Linked DNA regions of Oryctolagus cuniculus. The protein of the gene in region 1 purifies or fractionates together with the protein of each later gene. This does not show direct contact. Links are inferred from orthologs where the notes say so. Each region holds a gene or a part of one and is shown on either strand. Other genes may lie near its edges. The genes, in order: SORBS3, DLG5 and WASL.

Region 1 (6,848 bases):
ACCCCTCGGGAGGAGTGCTCCCTGGCCGCCCCTCTGTGTTCCTCCAGGACCTCCCGGGAGGAGTGCTCCCTGGCCGCCCCTCTGTGTTCCTCCAGGACCTCCCGGGAGGAGTGCTCCCTGGCCGCCCCTCTGTGTTCCTCCAGGACCTCCCGGGAGGAGTGCTCCCTGGCCACCTCTGTGTTCCTCCAGGACCTCCCTGGAGGGGTGCTCCCTGGCCACCTCTGTGTTCCTCCAGGACCTCCCGGGAGGGGTGCTCCCTGGCCGCCTCTGTGTTCCTCCAGGAACTCCCTGGAGGGGTGCTCCCTGGCCGCCTCTGTGTTCCTCCAGGACCTCCCGGGAGGGGTGCTCCCTGGCCGCCTCTGTGTTCCTCCAGGACCTCCCGGGAGGAGTGCTCCCTGGCCGCCTCTGTGTTCCTCCAGGACCCCTCGGGAGGAGTGCTCCCTGGCCGCCCCTCTGTGTTCCTCCAGGACCCCTCGGGAGGAGTGCTCCCTGGCCGCCCCTCTGTGTTCCTCCAGGACCTCCCGGGAGGAGTGCTCCCTGGCCACCTCTGTGTTCCTCCAGGACCTCCCGGGAGGGGTGCTCCCTGGCCGCCTCTGTGTTCCTCCAGGACCTCCCGGGAGGGGTGCTCCCTGGCCGCCTCTGTGTTCCTCCAGGACCTCCCTGGAGGGGTGCTCCCTGGCCGCCTCTGTGTTCCTCCAGGGCCTTGCTGCATGCTGGTAAGAACTCGTCGAGCTGGGGCTGCCCTGCCTAACAGCACAACCCACCTTTCCTGTGTTTCTGCAGCCATCCGAGGGTTTTCGCTTCCGCACAAGATCCGGAGTTTTGAAGAAGCCCGAGGTCTGGACCGAATTAACGAGCGAATGCCACCCCGGAAAGACGGCGTGCACTCGGCTGGGCCAGTGAAGTCAGCGACGCCGGCGCACCCGGACACAGCGCACAGGAGCGAGCTGGGGAGGAAAGCCCAGCAGTGACTCCGAGGCCGGCTGTGGCGCAGGGGAGTCAACACCCAGAACAAGCTTAATTTATTTATTGTTGGAAAAGGCAACAGCGGCCACTCAGCCGCACCTGGAGGTGCATCCAGATCCAGTCGGCACTTATTCTGTACGGAAGGTGACCATTTTGTAATTCCTTTTAACTTATGTTCAGTATATATGTACATAGACAAAAGTGCATCTATTTTGTTTTGCCCTGAGTTTTAGAAACAAATCTCGTTGTTGTCGGAACATATGTGGAGTCTTGTGTATAAAGGGGGCTTCCCCTAATAAAAGGGCCTTGGAAACCTCCGTCCTGGGTTTCTCACTCACACTAGCCATCGCCTTTACTCTTCCTTCTTAGAAGCTCATAGCGTTCATCTAAGACTAACAACTTTTCAGATACGAGAATGTTTCTTCCTTGTCATTTTTACCCGGTCCTGCCGGGTGCCGTGGGAGAAAGTCCTCGTAGATTTCAGCCGGAAGCTGCTTCGCGCAGGTGGGAGACTCGTTGTACCGGAACCTGTAAGGGAGTAGCCGGCCCAGCGCTCTCGGGCCGAGGGGGGTGATTTCCATGAGAACCCACTTTTTCTGGACTCCCAGTTCCTTTTACTGTGTTCTAGGAAGGAAACATTTAAAACCAGGAAGGATTTTCCTAGAGTTACTTAAAATTTGTCGATCTAACCATGGACATGATTGATTTATAAAATTTCCTTAGAGCCTTGGAGACGATTTTGAAAAGAACTTGAAATATTGCCAGATTCTTTGGCCTTCATTTTCGGCCCCAGGTGACCTGGCCATGTGCAAGGCGGGTTCCATTTCTAAGTTTCTCACAGCGCCCTCCACAGAGCCGTCAACAGCAAGGAATACGTGTGCCCGCTGTGCTTGCCTGGGCGGTCGCTTCTGTCTCGTGTCTGTCATTCCGAAATCACGGGGGCCGGTGGACGCTGATGCACGGGGTGATCCCCCTGGGATCTCAGAGTCTTGCTACAGGGCATCGGACGAGAGAGGATTTCCTGTCTACCAAGCACTGGGGGTTTCTCCGTCTCCAACACTCATTAGGTTGAACCGTATGTCAACCTCCATAGCATATTCTGGAATATGAAACCAAGTACTCAAATAAAGGGAATGATCTTCCCTTGTTTTCCATGTGACAGCCAACTAGTGAAGGAAATTTGGGGGACACCTGGGCCCCTGTTTTTGGTTTCTGCTGGTCACAGGTCCCGTGTCATAATTGCCATTGTCAGCTCTGCAGCGAATGCCCGCACTGTGCACGCGGCAGCAGAGCGTGGAAGATGCACGTGTCTGGAACCGCGTAGTGCGCCCTTGGAAGGTGAGACTCCAGCGTCGAAGCAGGGATCACAGACGGTCGTGACGCATGCTGGGAGCTTCAAGGAAACAATAAGGAGACATCATTGCTTTGTGAGTTTTCATAAGAAGAGTGAAGACAGCCCAGCTTTCTGAGTTTTCTTACACCTTTTGCTGATAGCACCGAGTTTGCTTATGCAAGAGATCACAGCATTTTGAAGGGCTGGGGTGCACCTGCGTGGACTGCCCTGTTAGTAAGAAGCTGGGAAGGAGACGCAGGTTCCTCCGCTGGTTGTGAGTCAGCGCTGTGAAAGGAGAAAGTCCCCAGCAGCTGTCCTTGCTGGCCTTCCTGTCGTGCTCAGAGGAAAGCAGCTGCTGTGTTTCCTCCTGCTGCTCGCTCCTGCAGCCCCAGGGTGTGAAAGGTGCCTTGGGGAATCTTTCCCGATGGCGCGTGGTGGAGATGAGAGTCCCACACCCCGTTCTTGTCATGGAAGCCAGGGTTACCCACACACACCGCACAGGGCGGAAACCACCCTGCAGAGCCTCCATCTGCAGGCTGTGGTGAAGTAGTTATTGCAAATCCTTAGTAGCAAAGCCGGGTCTCTTTAGCTTACCAGGATGAGTACTTGGGAAAGTCTTCGTATCTTCTCAAGTGTCCTGTGATAAAGCCAGCTTCCTGGAGGGTGTGTTCCCCAGGTACTGCGCTGTTGAGGGGTCGGCCACAGGAGACAGGTGAGAAGCCACGATTTAAGATAATGGAGCATCAGCTCTTGATGGGAGCTAGTTTGAAAATTTTGTTGAGGTGTTTTTTTTTTTTAATTTTTTTTTTTTTTTTTTTGGACAGGCAGAGTGGACAGTGAGAGAGAGAGAGAGACAGAGAGGAAGGTCTTCCTTTGCCGTTGGTTCACCCTCCAATGGCCGCCGCGGCCAGCAAGTTGCGGCCGGCGCACCACGCTGATCCTATGGCAGAAGCCAGGTACTTCTCCTGGTCTCCCATGGGGTGCAGGGCCCAAGCACTTGGGCCATCCTCCACTGCACTCCCTGGCCACAGCAGAGAGCTGGCCTGGAAGAGGGGCAACTGGGACAGAATCCGGCGCCCCAACCGGGACTAGAACCCGGTGTGCCGGCGCTACAAGGCAGAGGATTAGCCTAGTGAGCCGCGGCGCCGGCTGTTTTTTTTTTGTTGTTGTTGTTGTTGTTTTTGTTTGTTTGTTTGTTTTTTTAAGATTTATATATTTGAAAGAGTTCCAGAGAGGGAAAGACAGAGAGAGAGAGAGATCTTTCATCTGCTGGTTCATTCCTCAGATGGCCACAACGACCAGGTCTGGGCCAAGCCGGAGCCAGGAGCTTCTTGCGGGTGTCGCCTGTGGGTAGCAAGGGCTGAAGCACCTGGGCCGACTTCCACTGCTTTCCCAGGCATTAGCAGGGAGCTGGATGGGAAGCAGAGCAGCTGGGACACGAACCGGTGCCTGTAACATGGGATGCTGGTGGCCCAAGCAGCAGCTTTACCAGCTGTGCCACAACAATGGCCCCTGAAAATTCTGTTGAGTTCTAAGGGAAAGATACTTCTCTAGAACGGGTGGGAGTGCATTTCAGCATGATACAGGTGGCCTTTTAAAGTGAGGCTCCCTTGGGGCTAGTGCTGTGGCTCAGCAGGATAAGCTTCTGCCTGCAGTGCCAGCATCCCATATGGGCGCCGGTTCGAGTCCCAGCTGTTCCACTTCCACTCCAGCTCCCTGCTGATGCACCTGGGAAAGCAGAGGAAGATGGCCCAAGTGCTCGGCACCCTTGTGGGAGACCAGGAAGCAGCTCCTGACTGGCCTGGCTGTTGCAGCCATTCGGGGAGTGAACCTCCTCTCTCCTCTCTCTGTGTAACTTTGACTTTCAAGTAAATAAATAAATAAATCTTTAAAAATAAATAAGTAAATAAAGTGAGGCTCTCAGCCGACGTATAGTCCCTACATAGGTGTCTGCACCTGTGACTCCAAACAGGAGACAGCATGACCCTTGGAGTACCAAGTTCAAGACCCCCTGCGTTAGTGTCTGTGTTCTGAATGTTTTATAGCAGAGGCAAAACAGGAAGCCAAGGCGTGCCCACGCATAGGATGCTAAAACAAAAACCCCCCTCGCTCCCCTTAGAACTTCAGGGTGGCAGCTTGGTTATGGTACAGACACTGCTGATTGCTGGCCTGCTGTGACGAGATACGGACCACAAGGTGAAAGCTGCATCATATACTCTGGGGGCTTGGGGCGGCTCCTTGCCCAGGCGCAGGGGGTCAGTGTGTTCCGTGCCCTTTACCATACCTGCACTGCCTGTCTCTGTTCTTCCCTGAACAGCTGCAACTCAGTGGAGTACTAGCAAAGGTTGGCTTTCCTCACCGACAGCTAACTTAGGGATGACTTCCTGACGCTGTTCCAAATGGGAAGTGAAAAGCCCGGGGCTGTTTGTCAGTGGAGGAGTAGAATTTAATGTCCTTGGGAAGCGGTGGCTGATTTCTTGAAACTGGCCTTGGCATTGTCCCTTAGATCCTCTTCTGAGTGGTTTATTTTCTTTTAAAGATTCATTTATTTTTATTTGAAAGGCAGAGTTACAGAGGGGCAGAGGCAGAGAGAGGTCTTCCATCCACTGGTTCACTCCCCAGACGGCCGCAATGGCTGGAGCTGGACCAATTCGAAGCCAGGAGCTTCTTCCAGGTCTCCCACACGGGTGCAGGGGCCCCAGCACTGGGGCCGTCTTCCACTGCTTTCCCGGGCCACAGCAGAGAGCTGGATGGGAAGTGGAGCAGCTGGGACAGTGCCATGTGGGATGCCTGCGCCAGCCCCTTCTGAGTGGTTCAGGACCTCTCAGAAAGATGGAAGGTGTGCCTGCAGGGGATAGGGCTTGGCCATCGCTCACGGGTCTCTGCAGCCCCTCAGAGCAGAGAGGCCGAAATCTGTTCCCTCCGCCCTCCCTCGCTCTGTAAATATTGTAGCTGATCTCTAGAATTTTAGCATACCACATCAGTCAATACAAAATTCAAATTCTTGAGAACTGTGTGCATCCTGACCCGTCAGGGTGACCGACCAGCCAGCCAGCCCAGGGTGGCTAAGCCCGCTAACATGGGGTTTAGGAAGACCTCCCCGAGACTGACTTCATTCTAGTTTTGCTTTGCATCATCAGCTTCTCCCCAAGCTGTAGAGAAGGAATCTCCGAACCCATGAAGCCTTGTGCAGTACCCTTCTAGAACCCCCAGTGTTACTCTGGTTGCTACAGTAACGACAGAACCCGAGTTTCTTTCAGAGCATTTTTCAGCTTTCTCTACAGAGGCAGAAACGTCCCCGGTGGGAGGGAGACCCCAGAGCCCCCGTGGGTAGGCAGCTCCGTTCCCTGCAGTATCTGTCTGTGGTTATAACTGTGGGTCCCATCTTGTGTGGCACCGGCCCCCGTCTTTCCTGAGTCTGTCAGGAAGGGAGTGAGGGGCAGCCGAGGAAGCCCCAGCAATGGGTTGAGGAGGTCCGGGTTCCACAGGGGACAGTTCCGAAGCATTGTGTTGCCATAGTCCCGTCGGGGCACTGCCGCCATCAGCCGCTCGTTACGAGCGAGCAGATGTGTGTAGAGGGAGCAAGTGGTAGTCGGAGGCCAGGGCTGTCGCAGAGGACTGTGCTAACAACGGGGCTTTGTGCCGCTGGCAGAGTGTAAAAGAGGGCGCCCATGTTACCCTGGGCCTCGGGACCTGGCCTGCCTCTCTCCAGCCCGCCCGAGTGAATGGGGTCAGTGCTGGCTGTCTCATCTATGCAGTCACAAAGGTAAACAGAGGCTCTTCCCTCCGGGGAGGCCTTGGCCTCAGGCCCCAGAGCCTCGGGAGACTTGCTGAATAACACCTTTGTCCGAGACAGGGTTCTGCGTCTTCTCTTCTGCGCCCTCATGACCAGTCTAGGTGGCTTAAGATCGAGAAGAGAGGACACGGACGTGGGCCACCCCCTGAGCAGCTGTAAAGTGGGGCCATGCACACTGCCTGCCCGTAAGTTCTTGCCCCATGCTTCCCTCCCTCCACGGAGTTCTCTCTGGATACCCACCCCACTCCCTGCTTTTGTGGGTTCCTCTGCGTGTTTAAGTGAAGTGCACATAATGAGGAGGCCTACCGTGGCCTTGGATTTGGGAGCAACGCAGGTGCATTCTTAGCTGCCACAGAACCTTCTCGGACATGCCGTCGTGAGCACTTGACTTTCCCCCTCTCGGTAGGCCGTGGCCCAGAGCTGTTCTTCCCAGCCGGCATGTCAGCAAACATTTTCCGAGGGAGGCTCCCAGGTGGCCAGCTGTAGGAGACTGGCTGCGGCGTCACTTTTCCTGAGGTTCTTCTGGGTGATGGATGGATTATATGTTTGTGCTTGGAGATTGCCTTGTTTCCTGGTTGCAGTTATGTTAAAGAAAATGTTGGCCGTGTTATTTATTGGAAAGAAACCATTTAGTCAGTCTCTTTGTGCACCAGAAATTACTTTGTTGGAACTTTCTTACTGTGTATTAGAAGTTATCTTTAAGATGGGAGGGAAAAAAAAAAAAACCTTTAAAATTAAATGGTGACTTTAATG
Region 2 (6,898 bases), on another chromosome or scaffold:
CAATGTTCCAGACGCCAGCCGCTGGATGGGAGCTGTGACCTCGTTGTAACGTGGTGACGTTACGTCCCATCCACAGGTACTGGGAGTTAGGGCTCTGAGCTCTCTTCTGTTGGGGGCTGGTTTACATAATTCAACCTAGTACATGGGACAGAGGAGACAGTGTGTGGGAAGGTGTCCCAGAATGGGTAAAAAAAAATTGTGCAGAAATATAAAGTCATAGGGCCGGCGCTGTAGTGCAGCAGGTAAAGCCACCACCTGTGATGCCAGCATCTCATATGGGCACCGGTTCCTGTCCCAGCTGCTCCACTTCCAACCCAGCTCCCTGCTACTGCACCTGGGAAAGCAGCAGAAGGTACTGGAAGCGCTTTGGCCCCTGCAGCCATGTGGGAGACCTGGAAGGGGCTCCTGGCTCCTTAAACAAATTTTTTTTTTTTTTTTTTAAAGAAAAAGTATCTGCTTCAGAATGTATGCTTTCCATACACCCCAGAGGCACCAGTACCGCAGGGCCTGGCAGCAGGCCTGCCTAGTACACGGCCCCGCACTGCTTCGGAGGAAGCACGCACCCTCCGCACCATGTCCTCAGGGCTGCTGGCCACCACCTCCCAGGTACCTTTTGCTTCTGGGCTTATGCTCAGTTCTAACCATAAACCAAACCAGCCTCCAATTTTCCCTCGTTCCTTCTCCCCTGCTTCCACCTTCCTCCCATCTCCTGGATTTTAAATGAATGCAGCCGAGAGCACAAGGTCCAGGCACGCCCAGAGAGACGGATACTCTGCAGATGACCGTGGCTCTGTGGCTGCTGGGAAGGAAATGGTGGCGGGAAGAGGAGGGAGAGGAAGGCAAGAGCTGGCAGCCTGTCTAGAGCCCTGGTGCGGTGCACATGGTCTGCTTTCCACTCCCCTCACACCGGGCTCAGCGGCAAAGCCCAGGCACTCTGGGCAGAGAAGTATGAGACCTGTGAACAGGTGACTGCCCCCATGCTGGGATCACGGAGGCCCTAATAAACTCGGACAAAGCCGTGGACTCTCATCCTGCCCAAGTACATGAATGCCCGCACAAAAAAGCTGTGATAAATTGAAAAGTCTCGCTGACTCCCTTGGGTGTTATTTAATTCAAGAGGCAAAGAAACAGAGACAGCTCCCCTCTGCAAGGTCACTCCCCCGATGGCCAGGGTCTGAACCAGGAGCTGGGGACTCCATCCAGGGCTCTGGGGACGAACTTAAGCACTTGAGCCATCACCTGCTACCTCCCAGGGTTTGTACTGGCAGGACGTTGGTCTCGGGAGCCGGATCTGGGGATGAAACCCAGGCACTCTGATGTGGATGTCCTAACCAAATGTCTGTTCATGAAGCCAAGCCTAAGCACCCCTTGCTCTAGTCCCCTCAACCCTCTGTATTTCTTCTAAAGACAAAAAAACAGATCAGCAAGGAAAACTGATTTGTTCTCACCTGTGCAGCTAGAGGGAGATCCAGCATTAATCCGTGTTCTAAGCACTACACGGGGACTGTGTTCTCATTAGACCAAAGAAGCAGCTTTTGCTTATGGGGCAAGTGTGGGGATGGAAACAGCAGTGGCAGTAAACAGAGTCCCAGGCCTTGGGTGTGGGCGAATGAGTTTCACCCCTTCCCACACAGGCCTCTGGAATGGACCCCCAGGAGTGCTGTGGGGTCACTGGGAGCCCTGCACAGGGCCATGTCCCCCAGAGAGAGGTACGCAGCCTTGTCCACACTCAAGTCGGTGGCAATGGGGGACTGACTGAGGACTGGGGGCCTTCTTGGAGCTGGACCTGGTCCCTCTTGCAGTCATGGGGGGGGATGCAAGGCAGCCCATTGATTTGCCTCCTTCGGAGACGGGCTACCAGCTGGGGGGTACCATCCAGACGTCTAGAGCGCCTGGGGGTACCACCGCCACTCCTCTGTTTGCCCCCTCCTCCCGCCAGCACCCAACATCTGTAGATTGGGGACTAGCTCCTCTCAGATGCGGGTTAGGGGAAAGACCCCATTAACAGGGTCTTAGTTTGGAGACGTCTGAGTTTAGGGGACACTCCCTTCCCTCTACTATGATCAGTACGAGGTGGGTCTCCGGTAGCTCGGGGGCTGCAGCCAACCCGGGGTAGGGGCCGGGACCCCTGCCTCTCGCCCACCCCCTAGCTCGTCGCCGCCTCCCGGAGGGACGGCCGGGGAGAGGGGGAGGGGAGACCGGAGGGGCGGGCCCGCGCTGGGGCGCGGGCCTTGGCGGAGCGGGCGGCGGCCGCGGGGCCCCGGTGAGCCGGGCCAGAGTCGTCGAGGGGCCAGCGCCCGGGTCCCGGGCCGCTTTTCCCGGGGGGCGGCGAGGCACACTCGGCGGCGACTCCTCTCGCGGGCCGGCGGCGCGCGGGGGCGGAGGCGGAGGGGGAGGGGGCATGCCCGGCTGGAGCCCGGCCTCGGGGCGCGCCCCGGCCGCCGTCCCCACCTCCGCCTCCTCCTTCTCCTCCTCCCTCTCCTCCTCCTCCTCCTCCTCCTCCTCCTCCTCCTCCTCCTCCTCTTCCAGTCCCGCCGCCGCGGCAGCCAACATGGCTGCGCTCCGGAGCCCGGGAGGCGGCCGCTGCTGAGCGCCGTGCGCCGCCCGCCGCCCCGGGCCCCCCAGCCCGCGCAGGCCCGGCCCCGATCCATGGCCCCCGGCGCGGCGCGGCTCCCGGCGCGCTAGGGCTGCGGCCCAGGCGCGGGCCCGCCGGCCTCGGAGCCGGGCGGCGCGGCGCGGCCGCCGCCACCATGGAGCCCCAGCGCCGCGAGCTGCTCGCCCAGTGTCAGCAGAGCCTGGCCCAGGCCATGACGGAGGTGGAAGCCGTGCTCGGGCTGCTCGAGGCCGCGGGCGCGCTGAGCCCCGGCGAGCGGCGGCAGCTGGACGAGGAGGCGGGAGGCGCCAAGGCGGAGCTGCTGCTCAAGCTGCTCCTGGCCAAGGAGCGCGACCACTTCCAGGACCTGCGGGCGGCGCTGGAGAAGACCCAGCCTCACCTGCTGCCCATCCTGTATCCGAACGGCGTCGTGGGGCCGCCGCAGCCCGCCGAGGGCGCGGGTGAGTGTCCGCCCCCCGTCCCTTCTGCCTGCGGCGCGCGCGAGGGGGCATCTCGCCGGGGCCCCCGGTCCACCTGGCGGCGGCCGCGGGTGGAGCCGCCCCTCCTTTAGCCCGTTCGGACAGGGGGCCCAGCGTGGACCCTGAATTCACGCCCGGGGCCCCAGGCCCTCCGGTAGCCCGGAGCAACGTCTCCCGGGCCAGGGGCCCTCGCCCTCCCACTGCCAGGCGGCAGCGTCCTGCCGCGTCTCCCAGGTGCCTTTCCCAAGGCTTTTCCCCGGTTACTGGCCCTTTGGGAGCCCCTGCTGTCCTTTGACCAGCGGACCCCGATCTCGCTGCTGCCCGTCCCGGCTCCCTTACCTCTGCCCGGCTCAGCCCCTTAGCTGGCCCGGACCTGTGGTTGGTTGTGCACAATGCCTGCCTAGGTCTCTTTGCAAACTGTGGGCCGGGAAAAGTTGGGAAGTTGCATTGCACCATGGGAAAATCCTAGCAAACGGCTCGGGGCTGAGCTTCCTCCCAGAACGCCGAGCTGCCCACGGGTCCCCTTGGGTGGTACCTTTTGGCGCTTCTGAGTTCTCGGTGTTGGGGGTGACTGGTGTGTGTGTGTGTGTGAGCTTCTGAGGGAGGGGGAGGCTTGTCCTGACCAGGTTGGGGAGGGCAGAGAACTGGTCATTTGTCGGGCACCAGGCATTCTGCTGTCACCTTTAATTGTGGCTGCCACGCCGCGAGCTGTGACTGCTCCTGCTTGGCCAGAGAGAAAGCTGGTGTCTGGGTGGTTAACATGCTCAGAAAGACCTGGGCACCGGGAGTTCTGAGTTCTGACCAAGGGTTTTAACATGTTCAGAGCCAGGAGCGAGCAAGTGGCCATCACATGCCTGTTTTAAGAATGAGCCAATGTATACAGGAAAAGTAAATAAAGACGCACGCATTAAAGTTAAAGAGAATGAGCCAGGAGGGCCGAAGTGCTGCCTGAGCAGCTTGTGGGCTAAGGGCTGACAGGACCCATTTATGTGGCTGTTAAAAGCTTCTCTCATTACGGGGATGATTTTATAAGGTGTTCCTGGTAACAGCTCTCGTGTCTGATGGCCGTCTCGGCCTCACTGATTTTATAGCCGACGCACACAGAGGGACCTGACGCTGGTCACCCAGCTGTGGATTTCATCGGCGGCCCGTGCATCTCTGTCCCTCAAACTTGCATTCCGTCCCCCCACCTGTGGGCCCATCAGAGTAGAGGGCGAACCGCGCCCTGGCCTGGGATAGTACCTTGGAAGCTGCTAAGGAGGGGCTCTTGGTGTAGCCAGGGGTCTGAGGACAGGGGAGGGTCTTGGGGGAAGTGCCATTCTTTCCCCTTGTTAATTGCTCCATCTATCCACTTGAGAAGGAGGAAGTTTATCCAAGATCCGTGTCCAGCAGTCTCTTGGAAGCACAGACGTGAGAGTGCGGAGCAGGCGTTCTTGCTGGATGCCTGAGACTCAGCCCCCCCCCCCCCCCGCCCATGAATGGCCGTGGGTTCGGTGTCCCCTGAAGCTGTGGGAGCAGAGTCCCGACCCCTTTGCATTTTATCCCTCGGGGCAGTGATGTCGGACCCCAGCTTTGCCACATTGCAGAGTTCCGTGGCTTCACAGAGGGTCATGAGATTCTTAAGACAAATAATTGCCGGCGCCGTGGCTCAATAGGCTAATCCTCCACCTTGCGGCGCCAGCACACCAGGTTCTAGTCCCGGTCGGGGCGCCGGATTCTGTCCCGGTTGCCCCTCTTCCAGGCCAGCTCTCTGCTATGGCCAGGGAGTGCAGTGGAGGATGGCCCAGGTGCTTGGGCCCTGCACCCCATGGGAGACCAGGAAAAGCACCTGGATCCTGGCTCCTGCCATCGGATCAGCGCGGTGCGCCGGCTGCAGCGGCGGCCATTGGAGGGTGAACCAACGGCAAAGGAAGACCTTTCTCTCTGTCTCTCTCTCTCTCTCACTGTCCACTCTGCCTGTCAAAAAAAAAAAAAAAAAATAATTGCCAAGGGGAAGTTGACTTCATTTGATTCAACATGTTAGGAAGAAAAACGTTCATTTGCCGTTCTGGAGCCTGGGGGCAGCGAGTGATGTGGTGTGCAGGTCAGCAGCGGCACGTGGGGCTTTTTCATGGGGGCAAAGCTCTGTGCACGAAAGAGCGGCTGTGGTCGGAGGGCTGGAGGCCCCGGCCTCACCCGGGAGCAGCCACTGTCAGAGAGACCCAGCGCTGTGCCCTGCCTCCTTTGACTCCTCAGCGACTTCTGCAGCTTCCAGGTCCCGGGCTGGCATCAGCATGGAGCCCGAGAGGAAGTGCTGGCGCTCCTAGGACCCTGGCGTCAGGGGGTGGCCGCTCTGTCACTGTCTCTACGTTGGAGGCCACGCCGTCTCCTGGGGGCGTTCATGGTGGATTCAGCACTCTGTGGTCTGGTCCAAAGTGCCATCCAAACCCCTGGGCCCCTGTGCCCTCTGGGAGTCTGCAGTGGCATGGACACAGAGACGCTGCCAGCCCTCCACGTGGGGCTGGAAGGGAAGGAAACTCGTGGCTGCGTGCGGCTGTGCAGGTGAGCTGACCAAGCCCTCTGGGCAGGTTGGGCTCAATTAGATCCCCCACGTTTATAACCCACTCCAATCAGGCCTGGGCTGTAGGGATGACAAAGAAGCGTCCAGTATGGTTGTTCTGCCCTTGGCAGGGCCGTTCAGCACTTACCTTCTATTCTTTATTGTTCTTTTACTAAGTCATTAGTTAATTCGAGAGACACAGAGAGAAAGAGATCACACTCCCATCTGCTGATTTACTCCCCAGACAGCCAGGGATGGGCCAGGCCAAAGTTGGGAACTGGGAACTCAATCTGGGTCCTCCAAATGGGTGGCAGGGACCCTAGAACTTGAGCCTTCATCATCTGCTGCTTCCCAGGGTGTGCTTTAACTGGAAACTGAAATTGGGAGCACAGCTAGGACTCGAACCCAGGCACTCTGATACGGGATTCAGGTGTTCCAACCAGCATTTTAACCTCTAGGCCAGATGCCTGCCCTCTGGTTTCTTACTCTCCTGTCTCACTGATTCTGTGGCTGAATGTGTGATGAATGGAGTCTTTTGGGTTCATTATATTGGGTTCCAGGGCCCTGTCTGTAAGGTCTAAGGAAGAAGTCACAGGACGGGGGCCAGCGCTGCGGTACAGCAGGTTAAGCCACTGCCTGCAACCCAGCATCCCATATGGGTGTTGGTTGGAGTATTGGCTGCTCCGCTTCTGATCCAGCTCCCTGCTAATGCGTCTGGGAAAGCAACAGAAGATGGCCCAAGTGCTTGGGCCCCTGCATCCACCTGGGAGACCCGGATGTAGCTCCTGGCTCTTGGCTTTGATCTGGCCCAGACCTGGCCATTGTGGCCATTTGGGGAGTGAACCAGTGAATAGAAGACTTTTCTCTCTCTGCCTCTGCTTCTCTTTCTCCCTGTAACTCTACCTTTAAAAAAATAAGTAAGGGTCTGGCATTGTGGCTCAGTGGATAAAGCCACCACCTGCAACACCAGCGTCCCATATGGGTACCAGTTCGTGTCCAGGCTGCTCCACTTCCAATCTAGCTCCCTGCTGATGGCCTAGAAAAAGCAGTGGAGGATGACCCAAGTGCTTGGGCTCCTGCTACCCGTGTAGGAGATCTGGAAAAGCTCTTGGCTCCAGCCTCGTCTGTTGTTGCCATTTGGAGAGTGAACTAGTAGATGGAAGATCTCCTGTCTCTCCCCCTGTCTCTGTAACTCTGATTTTCAAATAAATAAATAAATCTTTAAAAAAAGTGGAGCAGCCAGGACATGAACCGGCACCCATATGGGATGCCAGCATCGCAGATGGT
Region 3 (6,855 bases), on another chromosome or scaffold:
TATGCCCTTACTCCCATAAACACTACTGCTGATGTTTTCTGTGAAAATGAGGCTTCTATCTTAACGGATCACAGCAAAGAAATAAAGTTTTAGAACAGGTTCTAGTTGAGGCAAGGAGTTATGTGGAAGAAATTAAATGCAAGAATTGCCTTATGTATATGTCATGTACATATTTTAATATAGCATATATGTTTTATATGTATATGAAGATAAAGTCCTCACAGTCTTCTTAACCTGGCTTACAAACTTCAAGCTACTTCCAGATGAAGTGAAATCAAATGCTTATTTCCTGGATTAAATCCAACCCCTGAAACTGGGTAAAAAGAATTTGAGATAAGAATATAATTTGCCAAAGAAAACAAAGTTGAAAGATGTCTTGTGTTCTGCCAAACAGAGGATATGCTATCAAGAATGAAAGGCAGAAAGGACTTGCTAGAACTTTTGAAATAAATATAGCCGGCACTTCTTGATCTCAGGGTAAACGTGGAAAAATAGAATCCTTTATGCATGATAAGGGGGAAACCCTAAGTGTTGCCTGTTCACATGCTCAAACGAGTAAGGAAGTCCTATTTCCAATGAAACCTTCATGCTTACACTTTCCATATTTGCAGAATATCAAGGAGTTGGAAAAAGCCCAATGAAAAGCAAAATATAACATTGAAGAAAATAAAAGCTTAAAGTGCAGTTTTATGAACTTTGGGCTAAGGAAAAATTAAAGAAACTGGGCCTGAGGAAAAAGGGCTAAGGAAAAATTAAAGAAACTGGGCTTGAGGAAAAAAGTCTATGATGATCTTAATTTTCAATCTTAAGAAATCTAAATAAAATTGAACAAGGGTTAATAGAAAATTGCATTTGGGTAAGACAAATATTTTTGGAAGAAATAAAGCAATTTAAACTGCAGTCTGGGAATATAAGAGGTTGAAAGACTACCAAAACTAAAAATACTGTGATCTACACATTTTAAAAGCTGATATTGTAGCATAAAAATTCTTTCAGTTTTTATTAATTACAAGTGAACAGGATTCCTAGATTTATAGTTTTTCAATGTTTTGCTATATTGGCATACTGGGGTATACTATCCTGCCAACAAAGAGAAAATGCTCCAAATTTACCATCATATATTTGGAGATTTTGTAGAGTTGTAAATTCTAAGGATAGCTTTTAGGGTTAGACAGAACAAAGGTAAAACAATATATTTTCATTCAACTTGAGCCTTTAGCCAAAGGAGAATAGAATAGACGATAGGCAAGGACAGTAAGTGACAACTAATACTTGAGTACTCACTACATGTAAGTTCCTTATATGTGCTATCATATTTTGCAACTTGGAAATAGGTGCAATTTCAATACTTACACTACACCTTTACGAAACAAATCGTTTTCATTTTATGGATGAGGAAATAGACTTACAGAAGTTAACTTGTCCAAAGTTCCATAAAGTTCTAAGAGGCTTAACAGGAACTGCCACTTAAAGTATACCTGAAGTCTGTACTTTTAGTATTAAACTTATTTACAGGTTCAAAAACATAAGGGTTTTGGTGTCTATCACTTCCCAGTAACTTTAACAGCTTGCTGCTGTTACTCTGCTTTCCACCTGTAGCTGCATTTGTGATCAAAGACAAAATAGCACCCAGGTTTATCTTCTGTGATTCAGAGGTAACTCCGGATCTACATTTCCACTACTGTCCTTTTAAACTACTTTATGAACAGTTACCCCTCCATTTTTCTATAACATTATTAATCAAGGTCAAGTTTGAAATATCCACATATTATATGAAAATCTCCAAGGTGTAACGCCCTCATTTCCTTTTGCAGATTTATAACTGCTCAATTTTACTAGACCATCTTTAACCATAAATTTTCCTAATATTTCCCAAGTGCACTGATAATGGTTTATTCATCTACTTAATACATTGGGGATTTCTATGGGAAGTTACCAGAGCCACTAAAATCAAATAGCTTTATCAAAGTTTGTCTTAGGAAGATGTCTTCACATACCACTTTTTTTTTTTTTTATTGAAACTGAGAATTAGCAAACACATTAAAGTGTGTGCACAAATGCGGATACGTTTAACGTGGAGGTCAGACGCACGATTCATTGTTCCCCGTGGACCAGTTTTACCATTTCCATATTTCAAAATTTCCTCTCACAACAGTTGTGGAGCATATAAGCTTACTGAATAAAGGGGGTTATCCCAGACAACTTACAACATTTCTGCACACACATCAGCTCGAGGTTTACCTCTAAGAATTTAACCAGGTAAGGCGTTTTCCGGCCGTGACTTCTCAAAATGAGAAACAATACAAGAACTCTGGGTAGATACAATACAAGAACTTTGGGGTTCCAAAGAAAGAGAAAAAGATGGGGGGATTATCTCCCAATTCACGGAGTGGTTGTAAGTTCAGGGTCCTTGAAAGACAGAACTCGAATTTAAATGGTACACATCCTAGAGCATTTATCGCACGTGACAAGCGAGCCAGGGGGGCGGCGGAAGCGTTTTCTAAGCGCGTTTGGAGACTTGCCCGCATCAAGATGCGTTTCAGGAACGCAGGGAGAGAGGCCTGCGTCTCCGCTCCCTCTGGGGAAGTCGGGTCGGGAGTGTGCACCTGCGGCTCAGCCCCAAGCCGGCGGCACGCGCGCCCAACTGTCCCCTCCAGATTCCAGACCTTTCTGACAGGCGGCGTGCGCGTCCCACTTCCGCCACTGAGAAAGGACGCTTCGCAAGGTGCGCACCCTCAGAAGAGAGGGCGGCGGACCACCGCGGTAGCGGATCCTCATCCTCTCCTCAGTCCCTGGTACCCAAAGGCCACAGGCCGGAGCCAGGTCCGGGAGCCGAGCCCCACCAGCCCCCGCGCGGCCGGAAAGGGGCGGGGCTTCGGCCGGCGCGGCGAGGCCTGCCCCGGAGTGGGGGGGTTCCTCCCGCGTTTCCGGCGCGCTCCCCCGCGCCCTGCGTACTGTGGTCTCGCCCGCCCCTGCTGCCATGTTGGATTGTGCGGCCGCCGCCGGCGCCGCAGGAGGCTTGTAGGAGGAGTTGGGAGTTTAGCGCAGTCGCCGGAGTGCGAGGACAACGACCATCGGGCCTAAGCCTAGCCGGGCTGGAGCTGGGAGCGTCCTTTCCTCCGCGCGGCCCGCCGTCAGCTCCTCCTCCTCCTCCCCGCGCCGGAGGAGCCTCGAGATGCTGCGCTGGTGACTCCGCTGCTTCTCGCCCCTGTCACTGAGAAGGGGGGACGAGCGTGGCCCACTCACCGGAGGACACGGCCCTGGACTCTCATCCCCGCCGGCGCAACCATGAGCTCCGGGCAGCAGCAGCAGCAGCCGCCGCCGCCGCGGAGGGTCACCAACGTGGGGTCCCTGCTGCTCACCCCGCAGGAGAACGAGTCCCTGTTCACGTTCCTCGGCAAGAAATGTGTGGTCAGTGGTCGAGAACTGCGTCGCTACCTTCGACGTTGCCCGCCGGGGGCCTGGGCTTGGGGACCGGGAAGGAGGCGCGAGTGGCGCGGGGAAAGAGTCCCGCCGCGAGCCAGGCCTCCCGCGGCCGGCGCCCTCGCCCTGCTCCCTGGGTGCGGGCCGGGGCAGCCGGACGCCGTCTCCGGAGCTGCCCGAGAACAAGGGAGTGTCACCTCCGCGGCCCTTCCGCGGCCCGCGCCCTGGCTGCCGGTTCCAACTTTACTCTCAGAGCGCCCGAGCCCCTGACGCTCAGAAAGGGGACCACCCCTGTTCTGCCCTCGCGTCACCTCCTGTGTGGAACCCGGGCGTCCCTTTCCTAACAATGCCAGAGGTTTGGGGAGTGGGTAGGTCTCGGGGAGTGGAGCCCCTTGCAGATTGCAGCAGGGAGTGGATGGAGTGCAGGTTCCTGGGAACTCCAGGATCAGAACAGGGGCAGGAAGCGCTGCTGCTCCCCAGTGCACAGAAGCAGGGTTTATTTCCACAGCAGCCTCGCCTAGGCCTGGTTTCTAATCTCCTCCCCACTGATTTTTTTATTTTTGCATTTGTAGGAGCGGGTGCTGTTCTCCCCGCAGCCTTGCGCACGGAAACCTCGATCTCTAGTAGTTCTTGGCCTTTGGGGCCGAGAGTGGTTCTTAGGCTGGTGCTGTGCGGCCGGTTCCAACCCCAGATGGCCGGTTGGGAGCAAGGAAGGGGCAGGGTGCTGTGGGAAGGAGAATGTGTGTTGTTGACGGAAGCATTCATTACATTGGCTGCTGGCACTTCTGGGGGTGGGGAGGTTCTGCTCCGTGGTATAGGCCTTGTGTCGGGATCTTTCTGCGGTGCCTGGCTTGAGCTGCAGTCAGTGCTGGCTGGGACCCTTTCTCCCTGCTTGCTGGCACCTGCAGAGTTTGCGCTGGAACCCAGGAAACACCCACGGAAATTTCAACAGGGTAGTGTCACTCTGTCACCCTCTTTAGGCATGTTAAGAGATGCCAAACCAGATTGCACCTGTTTGTTTAAAAAGTTAGGGTTAAACAGTTTCTGGAAAGTTACCAGATTAAGTGTTAACTTTATTAGAGGCTCCTCTTTATATCTTGTGCCACACAGTTGGAGACTGAATCATTCCATTCAGTTTTAGGGGTATTTCGTATTTCTGGATGTAGATCTTAAAGAACATGGAGTTTACTGATCGAATGATCAGAATGAAGGACAGAAGGGCGGCTCAGAATCACATTTTTGTGAAACAACTTTAAATATAATTAACTTCCTCCTCGCCCACACAATTTTGTAAACAAATGGGAAAACTTAGCCACTGAGCACCAAGTCACACAACCATTTGGTAATGTAACTGGAACTAGAAAACCAGGACTCCTGGTGCTTAGGCCCATTTTACTTTCCACTACATCATGTTGTTTTAGTTAGAAGAGGATCTTTTTTTTTTCTCCTTACTGTTTTGTTTGTAAAAGTGATGCTAAAGGAATCACCAGTTCATTCTTTATTGTCAGAAACTAAGAAAAAATGCAGGATTTCTAAAGCAGCACTATTTTTCTTTTTACTTTTTTTTCAGTTTACACTCTCCAGCTCTTTGTTATCTGTAAATGAACAAAAAATCCACTTTGCTGGTTTATTACATATGTTGGATAATCTGTATCCAAAAGGAAGTAGTTGTACATGTTTTACATACCAGACATACTAAAACTTTAGGTAGGAAGCATATTACACATATTATACACAAGTATACTGACAAATTGCTCTGTGCTTTCCTATAATGTTTACTGGGTTCAAAAAAATGACATATGTGGAACATATCCTGATAAGAGAAAGATAGTATTGCTCACTGGGTAGCATAAGCAGATTGTCGAATAGGCTGTCAGTAGTCAGTGCTCAATTTCTCTATGCCATCTTTTATTAATCAGCTTTACCTTTTGAATTTCTGTCATTTAAAACCACACTTGTTACAGTTGCCTGTTCTTGTGGAATGAAATTGTCAGGAAGATTAACTTTAAAATGTAAAGTCCCCAGGTGATAGGGAGTAACATTGAGAATAATAGTTTAAATTTTTGCAATAATCTTTTTTCCCTTTACTGATTATACAGTCTTTTGTAGTGTAAAACAGTACTTTCATACATTTTTACAATAAATCCAGCAATAAGGTTTACAGGTCAGACCAAATGTATTAGGCAAGAAGTTTATTGAGAGCTCTAAGAATTCAAGAAATGAACCAGACTTTCTCTCTCTCTCTCTGTCTCTGTCTCTCTCTCTCTCTCTCTCTCAGAGCTTCATTCCTTCTTAGATTCAACAAGCATGTGTTGGGTAACTAAATGTTGAGGTCAAAATCGGGGTTGTGCTTGCCCTCAGGGAGCTTGGTGTTCTAAAAAGGAAACAAACGTATAAACTGATGAGTAAGTCAGTAGTTCAGAGTGATGTTTAAGAAGCTGCATGCCACAGTGGAAAACACCTTGACTTTGTAGTCAGCAAACTTTGGTCACTTTAGAAAGTTTCTTAAGCTTCCTGTTGCAGGTTTCATGGGAATAGGGCATGTGGATTAGGAGGACACTGCGTGTAAATATGTAGAAACTGTCTAATAAAAGTTTAGGGGATCAGAAGAGAGGATAGTGAGAGAAAGGATGAGTAAAAGCCAAACGTGAATATTTGAGATGATAGTTTTCCAGGTCAGTGAGAGGCATGAGATAGCTTGGGAAGTTAGGATAGTTGCTGATAGTTTGTTGCTGGAGCTATAAGGATTTCTGCTTGGCTTCTCAAATTTAGATATGCATTGGAACCATGGTGGAGGTTGTTAGGAAAGCTTATGGCTGGGGCCAATTTCTAGATAAATTCACTGAGTCTGGGGTGGAGGTTGGGCATTTCTGTTTTTAGAAAGCTTAAAGGAAGTCTAATATGTTTTACAATTTGAAACCCACTGGTGAAGTCCACTGTTTCTGATACAGTAATCCTAGAAACATTAGATGTTATATTGGAAAAGTAACAGTGAAAATGCTAATGAATTTTCCCCTCCATCTTTAGCCTATATTTTGTGAGTCAAGTTTAATTTAAAACAAGTTCTTTCAGCACAGCATTTCTCTGATTCCTTAAGATATCAGAAATGTGCATTTCATAGCTTTGAGAGGAAGTATTGCACTAATAAGTGGGGAAACCACAAGATCAGATTTGATTTTTAGAAGTTTTGAGGGGAATGGTGGAGGCAGTATAGAAGGTGGATTGAGGATTGTGAGAGTGGAGACAGAGGAGATTAGAGGGGTATTTACAGTTGTTCACATGAAATACCTTGAGAGCCTGAGTAAGGCAGTACTGGTGGAAGTTCAAGGACAATTAGAAGGTCTCCAACAGAACCTAGTCTTACCTAGATAGAGTGAGGGAAGGGTATTGTGATAAAGATAGGTGTTACAACCTACAGAAAAACTGCAGAAA

Evidence for each region.
Region 2: the proteins of SORBS3 (region 1) and DLG5 purify together in Homo sapiens (co-immunoprecipitation; 3 studies listed by BioGRID and IntAct, with this or other methods). This does not show direct contact. The link is inferred for Oryctolagus cuniculus from reciprocal best matches to the Homo sapiens genes SORBS3 and DLG5.
Region 3: the proteins of SORBS3 (region 1) and WASL purify together in Homo sapiens (co-immunoprecipitation; 3 studies listed by BioGRID and IntAct, with this or other methods). This does not show direct contact. The link is inferred for Oryctolagus cuniculus from reciprocal best matches to the Homo sapiens genes SORBS3 and WASL.

What each region holds. Positions count from the first base shown.
Region 1 is NC_091439.1:771,379-778,226, reverse strand, and holds the start of SORBS3 (vinexin), read left to right. Parts: upstream 1-3,089; 5' UTR 3,090-6,065; intron 6,066-6,080; exon of another isoform or gene 6,081-6,155; 5' UTR 6,156-6,280; intron 6,281-6,848. UniProt on the Homo sapiens protein: Vinexin alpha isoform promotes up-regulation of actin stress fiber formation. Vinexin beta isoform plays a role in cell spreading and enhances the activation of JNK/SAPK in response to EGF stimulation by using its third SH3 domain.
Region 2 is NC_091446.1:68,896,212-68,903,109, reverse strand, and holds the start of DLG5 (disks large homolog 5), read left to right. Parts: upstream 1-2,484; 5' UTR 2,485-2,750; coding exon 2,751-3,054; intron 3,055-6,898. UniProt on the Homo sapiens protein: Acts as a regulator of the Hippo signaling pathway.
Region 3 is NC_091434.1:159,982,337-159,989,191, reverse strand, and holds the start of WASL (actin nucleation-promoting factor WASL), read left to right. Parts: upstream 1-2,882; 5' UTR 2,883-3,288; coding exon 3,289-3,411; intron 3,412-6,855. UniProt on the Homo sapiens protein: Regulates actin polymerization by stimulating the actin-nucleating activity of the Arp2/3 complex. Involved in various processes, such as mitosis and cytokinesis, via its role in the regulation of actin polymerization.